Linked DNA regions of Danio rerio. Each later gene encodes a partner of the first gene's protein in a complex. Links are inferred from orthologs where the notes say so. Each region holds a gene or a part of one and is shown on either strand. Other genes may lie near its edges.

Evidence for each region.
Region 2: the proteins of pcna (region 1) and lig1 are in contact, whole or in part, in a cryo-EM structure (PDB 8B8T), measured with the Homo sapiens proteins. The link is inferred for Danio rerio from reciprocal best matches to the Homo sapiens genes PCNA and LIG1. Residues at the interface, in NP_002583.1 of Homo sapiens: Met40, Ser43, His44, Val45, Leu47, Leu126, Gly155, Arg210, Ala252, Pro253, Lys254, Ile255; in NP_000225.1 of Homo sapiens: Ala361, Gly363, Arg364, Ser368, Ser388, Thr389, Gln390, Arg391, Leu392, Met393, Leu394, Val432.
Region 3: the proteins of pcna (region 1) and fbxo18 are in contact, whole or in part, in a crystal structure (PDB 8F5Q), measured with the Homo sapiens proteins. The link is inferred for Danio rerio from reciprocal best matches to the Homo sapiens genes PCNA and FBH1. Residues at the interface, in NP_002583.1 of Homo sapiens: Met40, Ser43, His44, Val45, Ser46, Leu47, Leu126, Gly127, Ile128, Pro129, Ala208, Asp232, Val233, Pro234, Tyr250, Leu251, Ala252, Pro253, Lys254, Ile255; in NP_835363.1 of Homo sapiens: Ser56, Gln57, Arg58, Cys59, Ile60, Pro61, Phe63, Phe64.
Region 4: the proteins of pcna (region 1) and dtl are in contact, whole or in part, in a crystal structure (PDB 6QC0), measured with the Homo sapiens proteins. The link is inferred for Danio rerio from reciprocal best matches to the Homo sapiens genes PCNA and DTL. Residues at the interface, in NP_002583.1 of Homo sapiens: Met40, Ser43, His44, Val45, Ser46, Leu47, Glu124, Gln125, Leu126, Gly127, Ile128, Pro129, Ala208, Tyr211, Asp232, Val233, Pro234, Tyr250, Leu251, Ala252, Pro253, Lys254, Ile255, Glu256; in NP_057532.4 of Homo sapiens: Ser705, Met706, Arg707, Lys708, Ile709, Cys710, Tyr712, Phe713, His714, Arg715.
Region 5: the proteins of pcna (region 1) and pold4 are in contact, whole or in part, in a crystal structure (PDB 6HVO), measured with the Homo sapiens proteins. The link is inferred for Danio rerio from reciprocal best matches to the Homo sapiens genes PCNA and POLD4. Residues at the interface, in NP_002583.1 of Homo sapiens: Met40, Ser43, His44, Val45, Ser46, Leu47, Val123, Glu124, Gln125, Leu126, Gly127, Ile128, Pro129, Gln131, Tyr133, Asp232, Val233, Pro234, Tyr250, Leu251, Ala252, Pro253, Lys254, Ile255; in NP_066996.3 of Homo sapiens: Lys4, Arg5, Leu6, Ile7, Thr8, Ser10, Tyr11, Pro12, Val13, Val14, Lys15.
Region 6: the proteins of pcna (region 1) and zgc:110269 are in contact, whole or in part, in a crystal structure (PDB 1UL1), measured with the Homo sapiens proteins. The link is inferred for Danio rerio from reciprocal best matches to the Homo sapiens genes PCNA and FEN1. Residues at the interface, in NP_002583.1 of Homo sapiens: Cys27, Asp29, Met40, His44, Val45, Ser46, Leu47, Ala67, Met68, Gly69, Asn95, Ala96, Asp97, Leu118, Met119, Asp120, Leu121, Asp122, Val123, Glu124, Gln125, Leu126, Gly127, Ile128, Pro129, Glu130, Gln131, Glu132, Glu201, Pro202; in NP_004102.1 of Homo sapiens: Arg19, Phe27, Gly28, Arg29, Lys30, Lys80, Val167, Lys168, Ala169, Gly170, Pro188, His208, Ser210, Arg211, Leu296, Lys297, Trp298, Ser299, Glu300, Arg332, Ser335, Thr336, Gln337, Gly338, Arg339, Leu340, Asp341, Phe343, Phe344, Lys345.
Region 7: the proteins of pcna (region 1) and cdkn1a are in contact, whole or in part, in a crystal structure (PDB 1AXC), measured with the Homo sapiens proteins. The link is inferred for Danio rerio from reciprocal best matches to the Homo sapiens genes PCNA and CDKN1A. Residues at the interface, in NP_002583.1 of Homo sapiens: Cys27, Asp29, Met40, Ser43, His44, Val45, Ser46, Leu47, Ala67, Met68, Gly69, Ala96, Asp97, Leu118, Met119, Asp120, Leu121, Asp122, Val123, Glu124, Gln125, Leu126, Gly127, Ile128, Pro129, Gln131, Tyr133, Ala208, Asp232, Val233; in NP_000380.1 of Homo sapiens: Arg143, Gln144, Thr145, Ser146, Met147, Thr148, Phe150, Tyr151, His152, Ser153, Lys154, Arg155, Arg156, Leu157, Ile158, Phe159, Ser160.

What each region holds. Positions count from the first base shown.
Region 1 is NC_133185.1:46,058,752-46,062,912, forward strand, and holds the start of pcna (proliferating cell nuclear antigen), read right to left. Parts: upstream 2,801-4,161; 5' UTR 2,539-2,800; coding exon 2,318-2,538; exon of another isoform or gene 2,265-2,317; coding exon of another isoform or gene 2,233-2,264; exon of another isoform or gene 2,043-2,232; intron 1,839-2,042; coding exon 1,741-1,838; intron 1,319-1,740; coding exon 1,251-1,318; intron 744-1,250; coding exon 549-743; intron 1-548. Other genes in the region: E3 ubiquitin-protein ligase TRIM69, read left to right, coding at 2,233-2,264. UniProt on the Homo sapiens protein: Auxiliary protein of DNA polymerase delta and epsilon, is involved in the control of eukaryotic DNA replication by increasing the polymerase's processibility during elongation of the leading strand.
Region 2 is NC_133177.1:47,496,315-47,499,814, reverse strand, and holds part of lig1 (DNA ligase 1), read left to right. Parts: intron 1-238; coding exon 239-416; intron 417-508; coding exon 509-704; intron 705-1,919; coding exon 1,920-2,051; intron 2,052-2,141; coding exon 2,142-2,636; intron 2,637-2,803; coding exon 2,804-2,909; intron 2,910-3,009; coding exon 3,010-3,105; intron 3,106-3,500.
Region 3 is NC_133179.1:10,423,508-10,427,007, forward strand, and holds part of fbxo18 (F-box DNA helicase 1), read right to left. Parts: intron 3,066-3,500; coding exon 2,933-3,065; intron 2,837-2,932; coding exon 2,646-2,836; intron 2,446-2,645; coding exon 2,374-2,445; intron 649-2,373; coding exon 566-648; intron 465-565; coding exon 296-464; intron 1-295. UniProt on the Homo sapiens protein: 3'-5' DNA helicase and substrate-recognition component of the SCF(FBH1) E3 ubiquitin ligase complex that plays a key role in response to stalled/damaged replication forks.
Region 4 is NC_133195.1:14,376,522-14,380,743, reverse strand, and holds the start of dtl (denticleless protein homolog), read right to left. Parts: upstream 2,801-4,222; 5' UTR 2,777-2,800; coding exon 2,722-2,776; intron 2,646-2,721; coding exon 2,520-2,645; intron 2,423-2,519; coding exon 2,330-2,422; intron 84-2,329; coding exon 22-83; intron 1-21. Other genes in the region: ints7 (integrator complex subunit 7), read left to right, coding at 4,215-4,222. UniProt on the Homo sapiens protein: Substrate-specific adapter of a DCX (DDB1-CUL4-X-box) E3 ubiquitin-protein ligase complex required for cell cycle control, DNA damage response and translesion DNA synthesis.
Region 5 is NC_133176.1:47,967,895-47,972,071, reverse strand, and holds the start of pold4 (DNA polymerase delta subunit 4), read left to right. Parts: upstream 1-1,377; 5' UTR 1,378-1,503; coding exon 1,504-1,528; intron 1,529-2,450; coding exon 2,451-2,552; intron 2,553-2,693; coding exon 2,694-2,783; intron 2,784-4,177. Other genes in the region: ssrp1b (FACT complex subunit SSRP1), read right to left, coding at 339-444, 542-727, 814-867. UniProt on the Homo sapiens protein: As a component of the tetrameric DNA polymerase delta complex (Pol-delta4), plays a role in high fidelity genome replication and repair.
Region 6 is NC_133177.1:18,824,143-18,827,316, reverse strand, and holds the end of zgc:110269 (probable flap endonuclease 1 homolog), read right to left. Parts: exon of another isoform or gene 2,816-3,174; intron 1,323-2,815; coding exon 1,177-1,322; intron 1,078-1,176; coding exon 936-1,077; intron 854-935; coding exon 797-853; 3' UTR 501-796; downstream 1-500. UniProt on the Homo sapiens protein: Structure-specific nuclease with 5'-flap endonuclease and 5'-3' exonuclease activities involved in DNA replication and repair.
Region 7 is NC_133197.1:620,015-622,947, forward strand, and holds the end of cdkn1a (cyclin-dependent kinase inhibitor 1), read right to left. Parts: coding exon 2,612-2,933; intron 2,061-2,611; coding exon 2,005-2,060; 3' UTR 501-2,004; downstream 1-500. UniProt on the Homo sapiens protein: Plays an important role in controlling cell cycle progression and DNA damage-induced G2 arrest. Involved in p53/TP53 mediated inhibition of cellular proliferation in response to DNA damage.

The DNA.
Region 1 (4,161 bases):
TCTGATAAAATCCCAGATAATTATTAAATCACTTATAACCTACTCTTTTAGGGTAGCTTTTTAGATTTATTATTATTGTAAGCGTTTGATTATATTCATTGCATTTTTTTTGCATTCATCCTGTATGCATCTTTAACAGCTGCACATTATGTCTGTAAAGTGCCCCGAGATGCTACTTTTAAAGGTGCTAAATGAAAATAAAGCTGCTTATTATATAAATCTGATCAATCAGATGGGGCCTTTACTACCTTTAGCCCCGCCTCCTAAGTAGTTGCTGTTCTGCTATTGGCTGGATTGGCTTAAAGGTGAAATCAGAGCTAAAAAATGATTCTCACTAATAGTGCTTTAAAGACTAAAGGTTTGCATCTTGACAGTTTTAAGTCTGAATTAGATCTGGAAAATATATTTTACTTGTTTATTGCAAAATCATGAAATAATTTTTTTAAAACAGCTAATTAAATTGACTTTTTCAGAGAAATGTTTGATTATAGAATATATATTGCATATTTTTCCCAGTATCGTGCAGCCTTAAATGAATAGTATGTTACCGCTTCATCCTCCTTGTCGACGTTGCTGGTCTGTGAGAGCTTGATGTTGCCTGTGCCCAGCTCTCCGCTGGCAGAGAACTTCACGCCATCCTTGGCACACGAGATCATGACAGCATCACCAATCTGTGACAGATCCCTGCAGATGCGGGCAAACTCACCCGACGGCATCTTCACCACACAACTGTATTCCTGCTCCTGAGGGGAAGAGAATAAAGCATGATCATTGCAGACAAACATCCACGATCATATCAGAAATAAACAGGAATCAAGAGAGGGAAACTCAATAAACTTTAAGACCTCATCGCCATTTTAGGTTTTAACTTAACATTGGTGACAATTCAACTTGTAGTATATTTACTAAATACTGATTGTAAGAAACGAATCCTAAACTAAATCGGTCATGTACTGAATAAAAATGCTAATCCCAACAGATGGCACCTATAGAACAGCAGGAAACATAGGCTTGCCTTTATTACTGCAGTAGACAAAGCAGTGTGATGCCAAATCTAGCAGGATTTTATCAATTTCATAAACCACACAGATTAAATTTAGGCAAACTTTAGCACACAACTACACATTATATAATCATAAAATGACCAAAACAATTATATCTTGTAAAACAACAGTTAAGGCTGTTTAATACCAAATTGATTTATCAACTTTTAATGACCCTGCAGACACCCTGTTATAATAAAGTCTTACTGGAATGCCAAGCTGCTCCACATCCAGATCCATCAGTTTCATCTCATAGTCGGACACTTTCTCTTGATCTGAAATGAGATGTAAATATTAGTATGGATTATTAGCTCTCCAGCAAAACTTAACTTTTGGTTTCATAGTAATAGTTGATAACATGGTGAAGAAAATCCATACTAGAAGCATTTTTTTTATGTGATGTTATTAACCACAAAATGGCTCCAGTATCTATGCGAATTTCATTCTTACATTTTTGGAGAAAATTATTATTAGAAAATTATTTTTAAATATTAAGTATTAATTATTTAGCTTAACTTTAATGATTCATTTTAAACCAAAGCCCATGTTTTTAACAGGTATTGCTGATAAATCGATATTAAAATACTGCAAATATAAATTTAGCAACATAAAATAAATTCATAATAAAAAAAAGTTTTTTTTAATTGTACACTATCAAAAGTATTGCTATTCCTAGTTTAAAAAGAAGTTAACTTACTGAGCGTTTCAAAGACCAGTGCCAAGGCGTCAGCATTGTCTTCAGCTCTGAGTGTGATGATGTCTTCATTTCCAGCACACTTCAGAATCTTCGACATGCTAGGAAACAGATGAATAATAATCAAAACACGTTCACTTCAGGTAGAAAAACACCATATTGATCGTAAAATGGTTTACCATTTACATTCGAAACAGTCATGGCATACACAAAAAGTGTCTAAGCAGGTTTTCTTTGTCTAACACCAGAGCCATGTTGTCATTCAGCAACCCGGCATTTTCTTTCCCGCCAACAAGCTTAAGCGCGCGCAAGTGACGTCACGATCAGTAGAGCGTGGGACGAATGCAGGAAACTGCGCGCCAAATTAAACTGATAGCCTATTTAAAACACAACCGTAAAACGGCATACTTTAATAACAACTACTGTAAATAAAATACTTTTGTCACTTTATAGTCTAAAAATGGCGCGCTGCTGTGTAGAGGCGCAGCCCCGGGCATGCGCAGACATGTTCAAACTTCACTCACCAAGTAAATACGAGTCAAATAACACAAAAGGCGCTTGATTTAGTCAGTGATTTTACCTGCTCAGATTGACCCCCATGGCTAGGTTTCTGTCGCAGCGGTAGGAGTCGAACCCGTCACTCCGGAGCGTCAGCTGCACCAGAGACACATGAGAGGAGTCCATACTCTGCAGAGAAATGCCCGACGAGCTCACATCCCAGCAAGCCTCGGTGATCAGGTCTTTCAGAGCCTCCAGGACCTTCTTAAGGATAGATCCCTGAACCAGACGTGCCTCAAACATTGTGCTGCTTTCTTAGTTTAGAGTAGGAGGAACTAAAGTTATCTAATCCTGTTACGACACAAGCTGCGGCCTGGTTAACTGCTTGTTTTCCAGCACAGGAAAGCAGAATCCTAAACTATCCTAGAGTTTAGCAGGTACTAATGCAGAGGAGGCACGGTGCAGATGTGCTGTCCACTGTTCTGGCGAGGCTCTGAATGTAACTGCGCGCGCTTTCGCCGGGATTTTGTTAAACTGACCCACTGTTGCCTTCGTCATTTCCGCTGACGTTTGACTCCTCCTGGAACGCAGACAGAACTGCGGACACTGACCAAAAGAGGGCGCAATTTGGTCAGAAGGTATGAGTTATTCACAACATTTATGAATACCCATTACAGTGCGTTTTAATAACCTTTACCCCCACCCAAACCCTAAACTGACCCGTCACTGTGGTGTAAAATATTATATATTGTCGTACAGTGTGAAAAATGATGCTATGTCAACGTGCGCATGCCCAAGTATCCACAACTGTATCCCTTTTTTTGTTTCTTTGACAAATTACTGTGCTGTTGCTAGAAGGGATACAGCTACGGTCGGCAGTTAACGAGAATTATTTATAAAATTTATAAATACCCATTACAGTGCGTTTTAATAACGTATACCCCCTAACCAAACCCTAAATTGACCAGTCACAGTAACGTAAATTATTAATTATTGTTGTGCAGTTTACCAAAGATCAGACTATGTTGATGTGCGCATGCCCAAGTATACGCACCTGTATCCCTTTTTTGTTTCTGTGACAAATTACTGTGCTGTTGCTAGAAGGGATACAGCTACGGTCAGCAGTTAACGAGAATTATTTATAAAAATTATAAATACCCATTACAGTGCGTTTTAATAACGTATACCCCTAACCAAACCCTAAATCGACAAGTCACAGTAACGTAAAATATTAATTATTGTTGTGCAGTGTACCAACGATTGATGTTGATGTGCGCATGCCCAAGTATCCGCAACTTTTTGTGTAACACATGTTTTGTTGCTAAAGGATATAGCTGCGGTCTTCAGTTAACAATAACTACTTATAATATTTATGAATACCCATTATAATGCTTTTTAATAACGTCTACCTTACCCAAATCCTAAATCGACCCATCACAGTAACGTAAAATACTGTTGTGTCACAAAAATCATGCTATGTTGATGTGCGCATGATCAAGTATCCCACAACTGTATCCCTTCTTTTGTTTGTGTAACACATTTATGTATGTATATATATATATATATATATATATATATATATATATATATATATACATACATACATACATACATATATGTGTTACACAAACAAAAGAAGGGATACAGTTGGGGATACTTGAGCATATATATATATATATATATATATATATATATATATATATATATATATATATATATATATGTATGTATGTGTGTGTGTGTGTGTGTGTGTATGTATATATATATGTATATATCTATGGTGTAACTGCAGGTGCGGTCTTCAGTTAAGGATAATTATTTATAATATTTATGAATAACCATTATTATGCGTTTTAATAACGTCTACCTTACCCAAATCCTAAATCGACCCATCACAGTAACGTAAAATACGAAATATTGTCACAA
Region 2 (3,500 bases), on another chromosome or scaffold:
GTAAAACATTGTTCAAAGTCAAATAAATAGTGCTAATGTTGTTTTAAAGTCATACTTGCATGTGATTTCACACTGAGTATTTAAAATACCACGGTAAACAATACAGGGAGCATGTCACAAGTTGTCACCGAGGGTGAGTAAATTGTGAGTAAACTTTCATTTTTGGGTGAACTATCCTTTCAATTAATTTAATTGATTTTTTACATGTTTTTGTTTTTTGTTGTCGTCTTTTACTCAGACCAGTAAAAAGTCCTCTTAAAATTCAGAATGGCGTGCAGGAAAGTGATTCGCCAATAAAGAAGGTTCATAAACGCAGTCGAGCAATCCTAGACAGCGATGAAGAAGATGGAGATCAGCCAATGGTCAAGGAGCAGGAGCCAAAACAGAGTGAAGTTCAAACAGTAAAGAAAGAGAAGGTAAAATGTGAATAATCATGACCACTAAACATGAGAGCATGTCAGTATTGTTGTTAACTTTATTTCTGTCCCATGCTACCACAAATGCTCAGATTTCTGATGTTAAGACGGCTGAGGTAACAAAGGCTTCCTCTACTCCTGTATCTCCAAAATCCCCCAAAACCCCAACGACTCCGGTCACTTCGAGCACCTCTGTTTCTGTTGTAACTCCTGCGTCCTCTGGGACTCCTGGAACTCCAGCAACTCCAACATCAGTGTCACCGTCAGGCATTCCCAAACGCAAGACTGGTCTGTATTAGTCTGCTTTTCTCACTTTTTTGTGGTTGCGCTAATCATTTATTTGTATTTTTTCAATATTGCAAAATGCATTATGATTTAGGTATGGGCCAATGTAAAATTCTGATGGTATAATAATAATAATAATAATAAGTAATAATTATTAAATAATAATAATAAGTCAAGTCAGCTTTATTGTCAGTACACAATCAATCACATGTAAAGGACATACAGAGAATTGAAATTGCTTGACTCTCAGACCCCAGGTGCCTAACATGTAATATTAATACAAAAAGTAGAATAAAAAAAATATTACAATAAATACAGTTACACATATTATCTAAAAATATAAGTAAAAATTACAAATGTATGGTCCTTTTCTGTTGGAGATACTGTTGCCCTAAAAAAACTAAATAAAATAGTCATTAAAATTTTTTTATAAAAAGACACGTTCTGAGTTTGTTATATATTAACATTATATACACACTAACCGGCCACTTTATTAGGTACACCTTACTAGTACCGGGTTGGACCCCCTTTTGCCTTCAGAACTGCCTTAATCCTTCATGACATGGATTCAACAAGGTACTGGAAATATTCCTCAGATTTTGGTCCATATTGACATGATAGCCTCACACAGTTGCTGCAGATTTGTCGGCTGCAAATCCATGATACCAATCTCTCGTTCCACCTTAGCCTAAAGGTGCTTTGTTGGATTGAGATTGGATTATATGTTTATAACAAAGCAGCAAATCTGCATTTTAGGATGTGCATGTGTGTCAGTGTGTCTAGTTTTTGTGTAAAATGGTTTTCATTGCATCACAACATCATGTCAAAATTATCCCCTAAAATATATTGGGTTGTTGCACCCTATATGTGTACAGCCTTCATGAAAATAGAACATTGGTATATTTATTTCTAATGTTGGGGTAATTAAAAAAAAGGCTACAAACTTCAGAATAAATAGATAATTTAGGGCTGTTTTTCTGCTGTTGAAATAGTTACTGTTTATTTTGACAGAAGGGTTAAAAATCAGCTTATGAGTTTATTATATTTGATTAATTTGGCTTTTATTGGTCGTTCAGAGAAAAAAAACTTTCAATAATAAACTAAATCCATAAGGATCAGTCATGATGTAGTTGATTGTGTGCAGTAGGTTTTTCTTCAGTTCCTACCTGTTTAATATATTTGATGAAGCAGGCTTTCAACCTCTCTTTTTTTTAATAGCTCGTAAGCAGTTCCCTAAGAGGAAGCTGGAAAGCAGGAGTGATGGAGAAGAACTAAAAGAGGAAGAGAAGGAGGTCGATGGAGGACAGGAGAGTAAGAGAGCACGAGTCGACTCTTCACCAGAACAGACAGGTTAAATGAGTTGATATTTATTCACTGGTGTAGTTTCTCCTTGATCTCAGTTCATTTCTAATTCTTTTCTCTTTCTTTTTTTCAATTCAGAGAATGAGATGATGGAGGTGGACGAGACGAGTGCTGATGAAAAGACTGCAGTTGAGGAGAAAGAGGACAAGGCGAAAACTAGTGTAGTTGTGGACAGCGAGATGAAAGATGAAGATGACAAGAAGCAGAAGATAAATACAAACAACGAGGCAAAAGAGAAGGATAAAAATGAGAGTAAGCAAGAGGAGAAGATAGATACAGAAAAGGAGACGAAAGAAAAGGATAAAAAGATCAATAAGCAGCAGGAAAAGAAAGAAACAAAAAAGGAGACAAAAGAAAAGGATAAAAGTGACAAAAAGCAGGAGGAAAAAGATAAAAGTGACAAAAAGCAGGAGGAAAAGGATAAAACTGAGGAAAAAGTAAATGGTGAGAATGAAAAGGAGAAAATACCGGACAAGAAAGGAAAAGAAAGCAGCAGTCCTGAAAAAGTGGTGAAAAAAGAGAAGGACACAGACGGAGGATCTGCCAAAAAGAAACCCATCAGCAGCTTTTTTGGTGAGCCTTTTTATTGTTTTCTTCTTTTTTTTTGTTAACCACTCAAAATAAATGACTTATTTACCTTCACAACATCCCAAACCTGTATGATTTTTACAGCACAAGGGTGAGAAGCTATACAATTGAGTTTTCAGCTGAACCGTTATTTAGCTTTTAATCTTTTGTAGCACCCAGAAAGGCTGCAGTTAAACTGGAAAAAGAAGAGCGAAATGAAGGAGAGAAAAAGAAAGATGGAGAGACCTCTGATGTGGTGGAACAGAAAGAGAAGAAAAGGTTACAATTTAAAATGCCTTAATGACTTTAATAATATTTGGTAATTATTGTTCATTTTGGAAGTTTCTTTAGGTTTTTAAATATATATTTTTTCCAACAGTGAAAAGGGAGTGGATTCTGCAGTCCAGAGCCAATATGATCCTTCTAGAGCACATTATCATCCCATTGACCACGCCTGCTGGAAGAAGGGTCAAAAGTAAAGCATGCCTTTCGTTATTTATGAAACAGAGAGTCCTACGATTTCAGATTTTTCACAGAACTTCTTCAATCATCCCTATAGTCAGAGTTTGTTTTTGGTCTGTGCTTAACACAAGCTGAAGATATTTTCAGGTTTTGTTCTGTAACAGAATAATCTGTAATATCCACAAAGGTTTATACAGTCCTGGAAAACCTGGAAATGTCATGGAATTTTGACAATGCATTTTCCAGGCCTGAAGATGTTTTGGAAAAAATCAACCCAAAATATTTTTAAAAAGTCATGGAAATTAATTTGTTTAGCAAAAATCGATCTACTTGAATATGTTTGAGGTGATAATATTGGGTAAATTTTAAATACAATTGCGCAGTTAATTTTTTCATGTGACGTTCTCT
Region 3 (3,500 bases), on another chromosome or scaffold:
GCGATATGACTGTTGTGACTACTGTTGGTTTACCATGTTTATTATTTGCAGGTTTTTATTTATTTTTATTATGTCCTAAAGCCTAACCAGGGACAAGGTCTGCAAAATAGTTTTATGCTATGTACGCGGCATTGGTTGTCTTTGTATAATAATGTCAAGGGTACTGTCCCTGTTAAATAAATGATTTGAATAAAATAAAAATGATCACATTGCGATATGGATGCTGAAACGATATATTGTGCAGCCCTACTTATAATAGTTTCTCGTTTGCTAAATGTTTCTCCAATAAACAGACCTCACTCCCACAGATCTGTAGGCCATTGAATGGACGGTGCTGCATTCGACGTTGTGTGGAAATAACCGATTGGCTTGCACCGCTACAGATTTGTTAAAGGCCAGATAGAGGAAGCGCAGGTCTGGCCTCTGCTGAGCATATTTCACTAGCGTGGTTGTCTTTCCAGTGCCTGCGACAACAGAAAAAGGGATTGTAAGACCAGGATACTATTTGGTGCTATACTACAGGATTACTTTTAGTGGCAAAATCATTTCAGTTATTGTTCCTTACCTGCAAAAGCCATTATTTTGACAACGTGATGATGCTGGATGTCGTGGTTGAGAATCTGCTGCTGTTCGTGAGTGATAAGCTGCCTAAAAATGAAGATAATTAGGTTTGATGACTATGACTGAGGTAATTATATGGATGTATTATATGTGCATGTGATGAATTAAGATATCAATTAATTATAAAGTTGCATTACAAAAACATTTGGGGTTGATAACTATTTAATTTGTTTATAATAAATACACATTATCATTATTTATTGGACCAAACATATAACAGTAATATAACATTTTTAATTGTTTGTTTAATTAAAAATTAGCAAAAATGTAACAAATTTAATAATTAACAAATCATTATTTGTTTGACCAACGATATAACAGTAATATGACAATATAAAAATATAACATTTACATTTTTTTATTTAACTAAAAATTTGGATATAAGCTTAGGGTTTAAATTAGTAGGGGTTGATCTTTTTTTTTCATAATAATAATAAATATATATTATCATTATTTATTGGACCAAAAATATAACAGTACTACAACAATAAAACAATATAACATTTTTAATTGTTTATTAAAATTGCTTGTTGAAAATTAGGATCATAACAAAGGGGTTAAAAAGTTTGGGATTGGTAACAATTAATTTTATAATAATAAAATAATACATAAGATCATTATTAATTTGACCAAAAATATAACAGTTGTAATACAGTATAATGATATAACATTTACATTTTTTATCCAAAAATTAAGACGGCAGCTAAGGGGTCAAAAAGTTTAAGGTTTAAAACTGTATTTATTATAAAAATAATATATTATAATTATTTATTTGATCAAAAATATACAATATAATAATATAACATTTACATTTTTTATTTAACTAAGAATTTGGATAGTAGCTAAGGGTTTAAATTGGTCGGGTTAATAACAACTATTTTTTAATAATAAATGCATATTATCATTAATCATTTGACCAAAAATAGAACAGTAATATTGTGACATTATTTCAATTTGAAATAAATATATATTTTTAAACTGAATATAATTTAAAGATTTTATTTATTTGTTTGATACTGAAACGACATTTTCAGCAACATTATTTCAGTCTTCAGAGTCACATGATCCTTTAGAAATCATTCTAAAATGTTGATTTGTGTTAAACAAACATTATTGTTCCAGGGTTTCTGCAGAACTTTTTAGGACTCTATTAAGACCATTAAGAATGAAATTTTAGACTTATACGAGATTAAGGACTTTTCTAATGGCCTGTTATTATCATGAGGAATACTTGTTTTCTTTCCCTGATTAGGGAATTTAATTTGGCGATTTTTAGTGAAAATGTCTAACAGCTGTTGTCAATAGTATAACTTTGTAAAAATATATATTTAAAAAAGGGTTTGAGAAGTTTTGTTAGTCATTGGATGGATGTCAGTCCGATCGAGTAGATTTACTTGGATATAGCAAAATTAAGACCAGTTTGAAATGATTTAAGACCAACAACACAATATTTTAGTGAATTTAAGACTTTTTAAGGCCTAAAATTTTGTTTTAAAATAAGACATTAGGGCTTTTTAAGTCCCAGTGGACACCCTGTGATCATTTAGAAACATAACGATTATTTCCCAGCATACTTTAATAAACAGAAGTTCAAACAATAGAATCTTCTTGAAACAAAAATATTTTGTAACATTACAAACGCCTTCATCATTCAATTTGATGCAAAATAATGTAAGATAATAAGGCATTTATAAAATCTACCCCCAAACATTCTGAAATTAAAACTAACACCATATTGAAATGGCTGCCCACCTGTTGTCTTTCAGGCTTGTTGGAGATGCATTTTCCATCAAGTGCAAGACATAAAAGATGTTGTAGTGCCACCTAAAAATAGAAGATCAAAAAGTAAAGAGCTATTTATATCTAGATGCAAACGTTTGATAGCAAGTTTTTGTCTTTCTTGCATTCAGTTAAAAATCACCTAGTAACCACTGTTTACTTCCTCAGCAGTCGAATGTAAATTCTGGAACGCTGTGCAGAGGTTAGGGTCATTTGCAGGAAGCTCTTCAAACTTGGTCTCTTACCTGTTGCTTATGTTAATATTCCGCTCTCTCATGGCCAGAAGTAAAGTCGCCACTGCCCACAGGTATTCAGAAATCCCCCCTGTGGTCAGCAGACAGCCAGATCTCCGCAGAAGAGCTACCAGGTCCAGGATATCTTTCACTCCGTCAGCTAAAATCAACAACAGTGCCATGGCAGACCAAGGGTTTGGACCCTGCAATACAAGTCAAACATCAAAACTGCACAATAGAAAGCAACATAAAGGCTCACGTAGTTTCAAATACTGTTCACTGAGTACACATTACTGTACCTCTTCATCCACCATGTCTGGGAGTCTATCTTTCATACAAGCTTCAGCGTGAGTGTACAGCCGGTGTCTTTTAATACATGTCAACACATCCTCCACATTCACCCGTTTGCTGTGTTTGAACCCTGACATATACCTGGGAAATTAAATGGCAACAATTCACATCATCGCATTCTCATTATACTTTTCTGATTTTGACTTTCTTTAATATCCACAAGTGGAACTTTTGGCTTCCATAACATCATTACATTAAAAATTTAACATAATTACATTCAACACAATCACGTCACATAAACAAAATAATATTAATAATAACATAAATGCATTAAACATCATCACACAAATCACACTGAAAAGGCATATAACACAATTAAACCTATTTAGTTATTTAAGCTCTCCCTTGTTTTTGTTCCTCTATGATTTTCTATGTATTTTCATTTTGTTTGCTAACTGTTTAAGTATTTATCTGTTAAAATGTTATCACTATTTTGCTAGCGTTGCTTTGTTTTGCATGTAATTGCATGCCTCTTTATAGTTTTCTGATTTTGACTTTCTTCAACATCCACAAGCG
Region 4 (4,222 bases), on another chromosome or scaffold:
AAAAAATCATTCAACACTTACTAAGCAATTGGTTCCAGGAACCCAGGCAATATCAAAAACTGCATTATCATGTGCCTGCCATTCTGGAAAACACACGTTTTACATCAATGAAACACCAAAATTTAATTAACAAAAGTGATTTTGTGCATGTATAAATCACTGTCAATGCAAAAAGAAGTTTCTACTATAATATTTAAAATAACCTTGTGATATTGCCGTTTCACTGGATTGTTTTAAGAAACTTCTTAAGAGTCACCTTTTTACCGTTGCTTTTAACCTAGATTATTTTTGTTATTTTATAATCCTATTGTAGTGAGCCATTCATATTTTATTGCAGTCTTTTTATTTTATTTTTTGACTGTTTTTATTGTTCTGCTTTGTTTGCCTTGTATGCCTGTTAGCGCTTTGGGGCTGAAAAAAGCGCAATATAATGTATTATTATTATTATTATTATTGTCAAATATAGGTGAAATAATGTTCCGTCTTCATTCAGCATGCATAAACAGATATAGATATGTGTGAGTGTAAAAATTAAACATACTTATTCTGCTCTTATTCTATTCAGAGAATAGAAAACGTTATCCTACTTAACCTTTCTTTTATATTCACACAATCTGACAGAATTTAAAAGGGCTAATATGGATTATCATGATGTACTATTATGAACAATGCATTATACGTATGTAACTGTACAACTTAAATACGCTTATTCAACTTATTCTCCGTCGATGAGCGGGCGCTGCCATTTGAATATTTTTGGCTTGAAACTTCTGGTCTCATTCACTTCCATTCATTTTTTGACGTTAAAAACTGCTTATTACGCTGCTTGATGTTGCAATTTGATATTTTCTTATTATATTATTCTACTTGGTCTGTATAGTCATGCAAACATTTGTTTTTAGAGCAAGTAGTTTGACCGTTTTCTGCCGTTTATTATTCCTAGTCATTTCTCCCATAGGCGACTGAATCGAAAGTTCTAAGACAATCGTGAAAACAGGCGCACTTCCGCATTTTAGAATAAGGTCAATAGCTATGGAAGGTTGTAACGTCATCATTTATGTAAGGAACTGTCTACAAATTAGCACTTTCAATCAGAATGTTAATCATATATTTAAAGATATGATTGAATAAAAAAATTCATTTGAATATATAATGTGATGCAAGTGATGTGTGCTGTACAACTGTAGTCAGCTAAAATGCAACCATTAATTTAAAAAAAAAAGTGATCATCTGAAATCTGAGGAAGCATGTTCCTGCTACTGATAAAAAAATATTTTTAAAAAAGGTAATTGCAACATTTTCTCAGAATTCTAACTTTATTTGTGAATATTGTGAGGCAATATCTCCCAATTCAGACTTAAGAACTCAAAATTGGCTCATTGGCTGCTAATATCATTTCCTTATTTAGAATTGATTGCAAATAATTTTTATTTTGAATTTAGGTTAAGCAGGATAAACTCTGAATAGAAAAATCAACTTTACCAAAAATAAATATTTCAGGGCTTAACAATAAGGACTGCCAGATGGCCCTGGTCAGTATAAGAGACATTCAGAACAGTAGACAGGATCATAACTTGCCCGATCGGGCTTTCATGTCACTAAGGTTTAATTTGGCTGAGACCATTTGTCAATTGCATGCAAAGGCAGCCTAAGAATCAAGTTTCTGCTTTTAAGCCTTTTAATGTTACCTCTTCTGTGATGTCATAAACACCATGTTACATGTTCCTTTTAAGTGATTAGACGTTCTGAGCACATACTTTTTTTCCATAACCTGGTAACAAGATAGCAACATCAAATTATGAGGCTAAACGAAAACATGTTTCTAACCTCTTGGAAACCTACATTTATGTGGGTACAAAAAAAACAAGTGATGTGTTGCCCAGTTTGCTGTCGGTTTGGCAGGTCAGCCACATTTTGATTTGCAATAAAATACCTGCACATTTTCCATACTGCCATTTTTGTTTGCATAACACTTTGATTTTTGCATATTATATATTTATTAACATTTGTAAAACACTTAAATTCTAGATTTATTCCCATTTTTGACACATTGTTTAAAATATGTGGCTAAGAAATAGTTATTAACTTTTTTGGTGTGGTTACAATGAATGACATTTCCGAAACAAGATTTTAAAAAATTATGACAGTATGACAAAAAAAAATGTTTTTCTATTTTATTTTCCTAACAGGGGAAACACAAAGCTTTATTGCACTTTTTGTTGAGATTTCGGTCAACCCATTTTATATTTGACGCCAATAGGAAATAGGGTTTTCCAAAAGCGAACTAGTTTAAACCTTTAAAATATTTCCAGGTAAACTTGAAGCCAACCTTTCAGAACAGAGCTTTGTTTTTCTCCAGTGTTGAAGATGGTCACAAACCCTTCTTCGTTGGCTACAGCAAGACAGTTTTGTTGTCCATGAGCTAAACATAGAAAACAAACCAGCACAAACATAATGTCTTTGCACAATTCTGTACTACTGACTTCGAACTCATTGTGAATGCAGAAATAAATGTTTACCGGAGGAAAATGTGCATCCGAATGGCGGCACGGCAGCAGCGGAGGCTCCATAAGAGATGTGTTCATCCCGCCGAGCGCATTCATAGCCGTCCAGCAGAGACGACAGAGGAAACAGCCGCTGCTCACCTGATTATTACAAAGTATTTCAGTGTAAATAGTGTAATAACGCTGGTTTAGGTTAACGTATATTCAGCAAACTCACCATTTCGTCCTCTTTTTTTAGCCCCTCGATCAACAACATGGTGAAAAAGAGTCATCGCTGCAGGATGCAAGTCGCGTTCAGAAGTGGTAAGTTTCCCGCGAACAATGAAAAAGCGCTGAAGACGAATTCCCCGCGAGATGGACGAACAGTGTTCTAATTGGTCGACACGTCAGGAAACAGGAAGTGTTAAGCCACTGCGAGCGGAGTGGAATGGCTGCGAACACTAGAGGCGCCATGTGGCCCCAAAAAAATCCGGGTTAACATTAACATTAACAATATATATATATATATATATATATATATATATATATATATATATATATATATATATATATATATATATATATATATATATATATATATATATATATATATATTCATTATTTCATTTATTTCCTTTTTGGCTTAGTACCTTTATTGTTTTGGAGTTGCCACTGCGGAATATGGTTTTACGCAGCGGATGCCCTTCCAGCTGCAACCCATAAGTGGTAAACATCCATACACACTCATTCACACACACACACAAACACACACACACACACACACACACACACACACACACACACACACACACACACACACACACACACACACACAAAATTTAGCCTACCCAGTTCACCTACAGCATATATTTTTTTAACCCACGCAAACACTGGAAGAACATGTAAACGCCACAGAAACACAAAAACTTAATCTTATTAAGAATAAAAAACCCTAAAATTCCTGAAATATTATACAGATGTAGGAGATGCTTAAGTTTAGTTGCTTTCCTTTTGGTTATTTGTTTAAGTGTCATTGTAATTTCATTCATTTGTTTAATTTAGTTTGTTTAATTTAGTAATTTTGTTATTATCATAATTTTATTATTATTAATATTATAATTATTAATATTTTCCCTTTCAGTCTAATGATATGTTATTTGTATGTGTTTGTGATAATTTTTATGACTGTGTATACTATTGATCATTTTAAAGTGATCTCTGGGATCCTTTGGATTTTGTTCTGATAGCAAGCAATAATATATATATATATATATATATATATATATATATATATATATATATATATATATATATATATATATATATATATATATATATATATATATATATATATATATATATATATATATATATATATATATATATATATATATATATATATATATATATAATTTTGCAAATGATTAAATAAAAATTATGATAGCATGAAGAGCCTAAAAGCTGAGCAGAGGTTTAGACTAATCAGGGTAAATGCCGACTCATAAGCCCCGCCTTCTTTGGTCACCTCTTTGGGTCGCTTTCGCTTCTAGCGTTCCTTGTAGCGCAACGGAAACCCGACGACGAAACTGGCGTTGTGCGTCACGTGACCTGCTTTACAACCGGGTCACACTTCAAACTTAATGCACAAAATCTCCATCTGATAAAACAAATAAAGTGTTAAATCCGAGAGCAGTCTATCGGGTTACATTTTTTGCAGTCTAATAATAAACAATGTCGCT
Region 5 (4,177 bases), on another chromosome or scaffold:
ACCATCACTATACAATAACTTGCCTAATTACCCTAACCTGCCTAGTTAACCTAATTGACCTAGTTAAGCCTTTAAATGTCACTTTAAGCTGTATAGAAGTGTCTTACAAATATCTAGTTAAATATTATTTACTGGCATCATGGTAAAGATAAAATAAATCAGTTATTAGAAATGAGTTATTAAAACTATTATGTTTAGAAATGTGTTGAGAAAATCTCTCTGTTAAACAGAAATTGGGGGAAAAAATAAACAGGGGGGCTAATAATTCAGAATGGCTAATAATTCTGACTTTAACTGAATATCTCAGACAAAAAGCGTTGCAACAGGAATGCACTGACCATTAAATTTAGCAGTGCCCCAATTCCAGCCCTTAACACACATGTCTTTCTCTGTTAGCTCCACTTTGTAGTTGTCTTTGAAGTATTCTGAGATCTTCTCAAGGTCCTGCGCAAAAAGAAACGGATGAAAATTTAAGACCTGGAATGAAACAGCGGATCAAACTGAGTGATCAATTGATCTGTAATTTGCATCTCAGACTCACTGCGTCTTTAAAGCCATCATATTTGTAGATGTGGCCAGTGCTGGTCCATAGTTTGATGCCGTGACCCAGACAGACTCTCCTCCACTGGGCCTGAGTGAGTTCAGGGACCGGAATAGTGTCCACCTTCCCGGTCTTACTGTTTTTATACACCACTGTCTGCTTACTGAAGCGCAGGCGGCCGTCATTCTACAAGAAAAGACAGTCGGTCAACTTTATTGAGAGTTTGATAGAAAAACACCTCAAGTTAGAGAACAAAACCTTTTTTAACTCACCCATGAGCCCTTGACCTCCTGATAAATTTCATTGAACTCCAAAGTGTCACTCATGTCAGAGTAGACAGAATGGACCTGTGACGTTTAAAAGCTGCGACAGTTATTAATATACATTATACATTATACAATTTCCACTGCAAATGGCAATATGAATGTGTTATGAATGATAGAAAACTCCCAGTTTACTCTGGTGTCAACAGTAGACTTTTATTATAGGTTGTTTTGGATGTAAAAATCTAGCTTTGTGCTTTAAGAAAAGCTTTTGCGAGTGTTATTATTTTGTGGCTGCACAGCGAGATGATGTCTAATAATAAACAAATAAAGCTAGCAAAGCTGGCGTTCAGGCATCAAACAGCGGCTTTTGTGACGAACGACACGTTTGCAAATTTACAGCAAATTTACAGCAGGCTTAGTACATTTCGAACGCTTTTGTTGCATATGTTATGAAATATGCGAGAAATTTGAATGAGTATTACTGTTATTCGGCGAGAGGATCAAGGCCGAGTCCCGTGAGCGTAGATGTGCGGCGCGCAGGAACGCCTTCGTCATGACGCAATCGCGCAGTGTGCGTGGCTCAGCCCTGCCTATCGAACGTCAGTCTGTTTTGTAAACGATCGAAACACAAAGGGAAAGTTAAAAGGCTTTATTGATGAAGACTGCTGCTGTCAACATTTACAAATAATTTATCATATGACGATATCCTATCAGCGTCCAGGTATGCAATATATTTCAGATATACTTTTTTGACAGTAGTGTTTCAAGCACTGTTGTTCGATGGATCAATAAATAAAGATCGCCTTTACTGGTGATTTTAATGCAATTTATTTAGAAATTAAAATGAAATGCTACACAGAATGCATTGCTTATTTTATGTTTTAGACCGAAAGCATCTAGTAAGATAGTATTTGCATGTCCTGCTCTTTGTGCTCTCACAGCCAGAGTATTTACAACATTATTGACGTTACAACATTATGTATTTACCTCGATTTAACTTGTTGATATATCTTATTATGCTACATCACGTTTAAACTAGGAAGCTAACACGTTAGTTAACATGTACTAACAATGAAAATACTGAAACTGTTGTTTACATGTGCCTTGTACTTACTAAAGTAATAACAGTGAATTATTTATAATTACGCATGATAAACTGATACCAACCCCTTTTCTTAAACATATACTATTATAATAAGTTAAATATAGTTTTTTTTTTGTGTGTGTGTGTGTGTGTGTGTGTAAAAACACTGGAACAAAGACTCTTAAAGGGGATAGTTCACCCCAAAAAAAGAAAATTCTGTCATCATTTACTCATCCTTCACTTGTTCCAAACTTGTTTGAGATTCGTTCTTCTGTTAAACAAAAACAAGATAATCTGAAGAATGTTGAAATAAAAAACAGCCTATGACTTGTTTTTGATAATTTTTCCAACATTCTTCAGAATATCTTCTTTTGTGTGCAACAGAACAAAAGTTTAGGAATTTTCATTCTGTGTGAACTATCTCTTTAATTATTGTATAACTGAAAACACTTTCAAAGTATATATTCATTTTAATGCATTACCATTTATCGATAGTTCATTGATTGAAGTTACATACATACTGTAGCATATGTATTGCTCATTGTTTGCTTTATTTCAGATATGACACCAAAGCGTGGCCTCATCACCGACACCTTTAAGGTTGTGAAGAAGGCAAGGAGAGGAGGCAAGAGAAGCAAGTCTCCTTCACCACCGAAAGCAGGTCAGATAGTATTTTGTTCTGTGTGTTAACATGCATCTTTAAGCAGAAATCATTCCATATCACTATGGTCCTAAAGTGTGCAAATGCTTTAGAGGCACATGCAACCATGTAATGCATTTATAACCTGTTATTACTGCTCAGAGCCTGAACCCCCACAACTGAGTGAAAGAGAAAAAGATATACAGGAGCTGAAGAACTTTGATCTGGATTGGAAGTTTGGACCATGCACAGGTAAACGTCTGTTTTTGATTTTACATTGATTATAATAACGGCAGCATGGTTGCGCAGTGGGTAGCGCTGTCGCTTCACAGCAAGAAGGTCACTGATTCGAGCCTTGGCTTGGCCTGTTGTCATTTCTGTGTGGAATTTGCATGTTTTTTTTTTATTACAAGATTTTAAGCTTTAAATATATATATATATATATATATATATATATATATATATATATATATATATATATATACATTATAAGAGCAAACATTGGCTCATACTTTAGAAATACAAAAGACAGTATAAAATAAAACTAAAAAGAAAGGAGACAAAAAACACACACACAACATCACAAAACATACATCAAAACAAGAGGGGTTATATAACTTAAACCTCAGAGTGGTCAGTAGATTGCTTTTTAGATATTGATTTGTCAAATAAATCAAGAAATTGACTCCAAGTAGCCAAATATTTTCTGATGAAGCTAGTCCTTAAAAATCTGAGTCTCTCCATCTGAATAACAGACATGATATCAGAAATCCAGTTCTGCAATGAGAGGCGTAAAGGTGATTTCAAATTTATTACACTATATTTGTTTAGCCACCATCATGCCTTGCATTAAAGACTTTTGCATTGTTTGAGAGAGAGAAGATGTGATTTGTGAGAAGTCAAAGATGGCAAGTTCGATATCTGGCAGAAAAGGCCTGCTCTAAGCTCAGCCTTCCAGTTCTGTTTGTCCAGAATCTGTTCAGTAAGGGAAAAATTGGCATGTTCTCCCCGTGTTGCCATGGGTTTCCTCCAGGCTCTCTAGTTTCCCTTACAAGCCCAAAGACATGCGCTATAGGTGAATTGGGTAAGTTAAATTGTCCGTAGTGAATTGGAGTGTATGGGTGCTTCCCAGTGATTGGTTGCTGCTGGAAGGGTATCCACTGTATAAAACATATGCTGGATAAGTTGGCGATCCATTCTGATGTGGTGACCCCAGATTAATAAAGGGACTAAGCTGAAAAGAAAATGAATGAATGAATGAATGAATAAATGATAATAACTATTGATTAACCCTTAAAGGGATATTTCATCCAGTAATGACAATTCTTTAATGTTTTACTCATACTTCTCTTGTTCAAAACCTGATTCAGTTTCAGTCTGCTGTTAAACATAAAAGAAGATTTTTTGAAGAATGTTGAAAACAGGTAACCATTGACTTCCATTGTATTTTTCCCCATACTATGGGAGCCAGTGGTTACCAGGTTTCAACATTGTTGGACAAAATAACTACTTTTGTGTCCAACAGAAAAAAAGGTATGAAGGTTTAAAACTACATAAAGGTGAGCAAACGATTACAGAATTTTTTTGAGAGGTGAACTATCCCTTTAAGGACAGACCTGTTGTGTTCTCTGATGTTTCTTTTGGTT
Region 6 (3,174 bases), on another chromosome or scaffold:
CTCAGGGTATAATAGGGAAAGGTAACTGTTGATCTTGGAGAATGGCTTTTACTCTGCATCTCCCGCACACCAGTGCGTAGCCTCATATGCTAACAAAGGCAGTTTCACTGTCTTTGTTGCTCAGCAGTGCATATATTACAGCTAATTTCTTTATACAGTATGCTAGTTTGTTTCATTCTACTGTGTGTATATTTAAACATGTAACTTAATAAACAACTTTGCCTGCTTTAAGGCGTAGAGATTCTTTCTCTTTATCAACGATGATAACATCTTTAATGGAGTCAGATTAATTACAATGGAGTCAGATAAATAATGGATTTAAACACACCATCTTTCAACTGCTTTCTGTTTCCGATTATTGGTTCAGAATAGCAAGTAGTAAGCTTCAAGCCTTACAATGTTCACAGCCAATAATGTATGGAGCTTCCTTAAACAAAAGCCACAGTAATATTGTTTGCTACTATAATAATGTATTAGCAAATGATGAGGCAGGGAATATCTTTGGAAATAAACAGAGGTTTACTTTTTTTGTCGTTACAAACATTATTTAAGATGTTTTCTAAAGCATTGATTTTACAGGCTCTCAAATATTAGCACCTTTGTTGTACATGATACAAACATTAATTAAAAATAGGTTTTCTTGGCAATGGTTTACCATTGCCATTTGAACAAAATAAAATACTCAGTAAAAAGGCAGTCCAAACTTCTTCAAGTCATCACACATTTGACTCTTCTGTCCACATGATGGTTTGATCAATGCTTTGAGATCCAAGATCCAAGATCTAAAAGGTCCGTCTTATTTAATTTTGAATTGTTTTCTCCCACTTGATTCTTTTACAGCAGCAGATTCAGCCTAGAGGGGGAGATCAAGATTGTTGGATACAATATTCAAGAAAGGGATAAATTCATAATACTTCTTTAATGTTAAATCTTACCCTTCTCTTCCTCGTGGCAGGGAAAAAATCTTCAAGGCGTGATTGTCTAGTTTGGCCCATTTGCATATTCACCTCCCTCTGCTTCCTTCTCTTTAGGAGCATCTCGCGAAACTTCTTCATGCGTCCCCGCACCCTTTCTTCCCTGAAAAACAGTAAATATGTTCACATACCAAAAGAAAGATACATCTAAAAACATCAATTAATGGCAAACACTCTATAATACTAGAATATGTAGGCATACTTTAAAGGTTTCTCCTTGCACAGGAACTGCACCAGACCTTCTTCATCAGGCTCACTCCAGGCCAGGACTGGGTCGTCGATTTTTGGAGTTTCGAAAAACAGCTTGCGGGCATCTTTATACTGCCAGTTTAAAGGGATAGGGTGCGTCTGTATATAATGATAGTCAAAGAAGCTGTTTATTATTGGTGTATAAAAAAAACAAATGTAAATCAAAGGCGGCAACACCAAGGCTCCAAAAATACAAATTTATTAAATTAAAAAGGCTGACACAGAGCGTGTAAGGTTTCGAGCCGCCGGCTCTTCATCAGACAATGTTTATCACAATCAGATGCTTCTTTTTATACACTCCGGATCACATGATCTCCTCTCACATATATGTCAACATATACATACATGCATATGTATACATACACAGTCGTTCATATATACATATACATACACATGAATACTTATACACATTCACATATAGTCTATAGCTTTGATATTAGAGAACGATTTAGAGAACGATCTTATAAGGAGTGGATACAGTCTTCACATGATCGCTTCAAAGATATGTCACAAGAAGAAAGCTCAGTTAAAAAAGTAACAAAAAAGCATGATCGTCGCATTACTTGTTATATGAAATATTCACAAGTGACTAAAGACATCAATAAAGTGCTGTTAAAACACTGGCATAATATTTCAAGTGATCCCACCCTCAAAGAGTGTTTTGATAAGTCACCCCGTTTGGTACACAAAAAAACATCTAATATCCGAAATATGCTAGTAAGAGCTGATCTAAAACCCACTCCACATTTTTAAAACACCATACTACAGGGTAATTTTAAATGTGACAATTGTTTACAGTGTAATTTTACATATAAAACATCTACTTTCACACATCCGCATACAGCGGAAAAATGTAATATTCGAGGCACTATTTCGTGTAAAACAGCGAACGTTATCTATATGCTGCGGTGCCCGTGTGGTTTATGTTATGTAGGTAAGACGAGTAGACCTTTAAAAATTCGTATTTCTGAACATCGATGCGCTATTTGACAACAGGATCCCAGAAGTCCGGTTGCGCAACATTTTTCAGTTATGAGACATTCCGTCTCTACTCTACAATATATAGGGATTGAAGTTGTGAAGTGTCCACGTCGGGGCGGTGATCTTAATAAATTGCTGTTGCAACGCGAAGCTTTCTGGATTTTCACTTTAGACGCATTGTCTCCAAAAGGTTTAAATGAGGAGTTTGACATTCGTCCTTTTCTGTAATAATTTTTTAATAAGTCTTTATTATGTAATAGTGTCCCAGAGATGAGTTGCGGCTGGAGGGGCGCCCGCTGCGGGGAAGTGTGTGGGACGAGTTGGCGGTTTATTCCGCTGTGGTAGCCCCGACTAATAAAGAGATTAAGCCGAAAAGACAATGAATGAATGATGAATGAATGAATGAAGGTTTAATAGGGGTTTGGTTTAAAGGTTTTTTGGCTATATTTTGTTGTATAGTCTGGTGTATCATATATATATTATTATTATTATATATTTTATTTATTTATTTTTTTCCCTTATTTATTTATTTTTCTGTATTATAATTTGTGATGCAATATTATAGTTTATTTATGTATTTATATATATATATATATATATTTTTTTTTTTTGTAATTTGATTTATAATATCAAAGCTATAGACTATATGTAAATGTGTATACGTATTCATGTGTATGTATATGTATATATGAACGACTGTGTATGTATACATATGCATGTATGTATATGTTGACAAATATGTGAGAGGAGATCATGTGATCCGGAAGTGTATAAAAGAAGCACCTGATTGTGATAAACATTGTCTGATGAAGAGCCGGCGGCTCGAAACGTTACACGCTCTGTGTCAGCCTTTTTAATTGAATAAACTTGTATTTTTGGAGCCTTGGTGTTGCCGCCTTTGATTTACATTTAATTTGCACTTTTTGCGGTTTTGGCTGAGCACCCAATTAAGAGAGATGTGCGTGCTTTT
Region 7 (2,933 bases), on another chromosome or scaffold:
TTGTTTCTTCGAATTCCAATTTTTTTCGTTTGCATCTTGGAATTCATACTTTTTTCTTGGAATGCTTAGTTTACATGTTGAAATACGGTTTTATTTTTTTGCTTGGAATTCAAAGTTTGCATCTTGTAATACTGCTTTTTTTTTAGTTCTGATGTTATGTTTAAAATTTACAATTCTGGCATCTTTGCTTGGAATTCCCAGTTTGCATCTTGAAATACTGACTTTTTTCTTGGTATTATCAATTCACTCTTCAAAATTCCAACTTTTTATTCCTTTGAATTCTGAGTTGGAATACTGACTTTTTTTTCTTGGATTTGTAAATCCACACCTGATAATTCTGACAAAATCTGGGTTTTCATCTCACAATATATATTTTTTTGTTTGTAATTTTTACTTCTCCTAATTCTAACTTTCATTCTTCAAAATCTAAATTTACATCTCACAATTCTGAACTGTTTCCTAAAGGAATTCTGACAATTAAAAAAGTAACAAGAAACCAATTTTATATCATAAACAGCTTTATTACAAGAACAATTACATGTAAATCTACAATACAATATTAATCTGTAAAATAAATACAGCATATATTTTGAGCTCTTTAACAATAACAGACCTGTGCAAGCTACACTACTCCAAAAAATAAAAACAAAACAAAAGAAACCCCAAGTGCAATTCTCAATCGACGGCGAATTATCCAATAAACAGGATATTTACAGACGGGTCGCAGAAAACAAGCAGAGTTCTAGAGCTGGTAAAGAGCTGAATGCTAAACTTCAGAAAGCCGACAGAGCTGAGATCTTGATTAGGAAACACATGAAAGCTGGTGTTCGTACTTCTTATGAAGTTTATTTTAATGTATTTGTAGAGCGTTTGTAAATATGATGTAGTGTCAGCGTTCATGGAGCAAGAGCAGAACACACTTCTGCGCAAATTCGTTACGAAAAATGCTGTGTTTTAACAGTCTTTTGTGGTCTAATCTGATCTATGTTGTATTAAAATTGAAATGCGTAAAATTGCGTCAATTCTAATTCTCGAATTGACGTTTCACGCAATTAGATTTTCACGCTAAACCTAATGCAACAAAATAATTTCACGAATAAATTGCGCAAATAATTATTTAATTCTTTGTAAAAAAAATGTGCATGTTAATTTTCAGTTTTTTTTATTTCTTATTTTTTAACTTTTTTTATTGTCATTGCAATATTTCTTATATATTTGGTAGAATAAGTTTGTTGCTATAATTATTCTTAAAGCATTTCTATACTAATTCTGTACAAATTTAACAAAAAAAAATGTTTTCCAAAAGATTTGCATAATTCTTACAACATTTTGTGCACGTAAACTTTAAGCCTACATTTATTTCAACACAAAAACTGCATAAAAAAAATTGTGCAAAAATGTTTTCGTTAAAATAAACGCAAGAATGAATTTGTTCTCTCAGTTCTATCTGCTCGTGTTTCATGAACGTCGCCAAGTGTTTTTTTTTTAAACAAAGTTTAATGTAGTAGAAAAACGTAATTGCAGCTCAATTACGATAAAGATGTGAGAACTTACTGGCAGCTTCATGAAGGTTTATGTGTAAAATAACATAAAGGGTTAGAATTATAAATAGAAGAAGAGGAAAAAACAACATTTGGCACCAAATGTTTAGAGTTTTAAAACATTAGCTACGTTTTGTGCAATAAGGCAATGTGAATATGTGCACGCTGAAATAAAAATCAGCGCTTTATATTGTTCGTAATGAAACAGTTGTCATGATTCTGTGGTCCCGTCGAGAGACAATCTCTGGAAGACTGAGGAATGGATCTTTCCAGAACATTTCCACTTGTAAATGTTAACCGTTGACATAAAACGGTTGAAATAAAAACGGAATAAACGGTGTCGTCTCTGGTTCCTGAAGGTCGTTTTCTGTCAATAACGCTGCTACGAGACGAATGCAGCTCCAGACAGATGAAGGTAGATGCAGGTCAAGAGTTTATCTGTGTGTGTGTGTGTCTCCTTCAGCTACTGGCCGGATTTGCGCGGCGTGGCCACTAGACGCTTCTTGGCTTGGTAGAAATCTGAGAACAGAGAGACGATATTATTTGTTTATTATTAGTCGAACTCACGCTTTAAATTTACATCAGAATACAAGCAGTTTAATATTACTACAATAATACTACACTCAGTGGTTCATTATTATAACAAAAAAATTAATTCTAAATTTGTATTAATGTAAAAATATCTATCAATATGCGATTATGTATATAATTCAAATATGCGATAATGTAAATCAATCTGTGTCGTGTTTGTTAGCTGAAGTTTTTGGTTGATTAAAGTACAATATAAAATAAATACGCAATTTAAAAAATGCATTAAAATATAAATATTAGATGAAAAATTTAAAAACAGAAACTTAAAACTTTACATCTAAAAATTCAACACTTTTAATAGGGTATTATAGAAAAATGCATAAAAGCAGATCATCAGAGAGTTGCATTATAGAAACACTACGACATTTATTTATTTATCTTTCTTTAATTTTTGTTATTTAAAAAAATAATCAACAAACAAACATAGCTATATACATAAATAATAACAATACTAAATAATAATAATAAAGAGGTCTGACCTGTGATGTTGGTCTGTTTGCGCTTCAGCTCGCTGCTCTTCTCTGGGGTTTTCTCCACTTCATGCGGGAGTGCAGCACATCGTTCTGGTGTTTTCGGGATGTTTTCCTTTCCAGCGGCGGACTGTCCGGGCTGATGAGCCTCACAGGGCCGTTTCTGCTGCTTTTCCTGACACGCGCGGTACAGTAGTGGCACGCGCACGCCGGACACGCCCTCCCAGTGGAAGTCTCCGCCCTCTAGTGGTTTCTCAGACGCAAAGTCGAAGCTCCAGCGTCGCGATGCGTCCTCCAGATCGCGCCGTAGCGCCGCCCGGTACTCACGCTG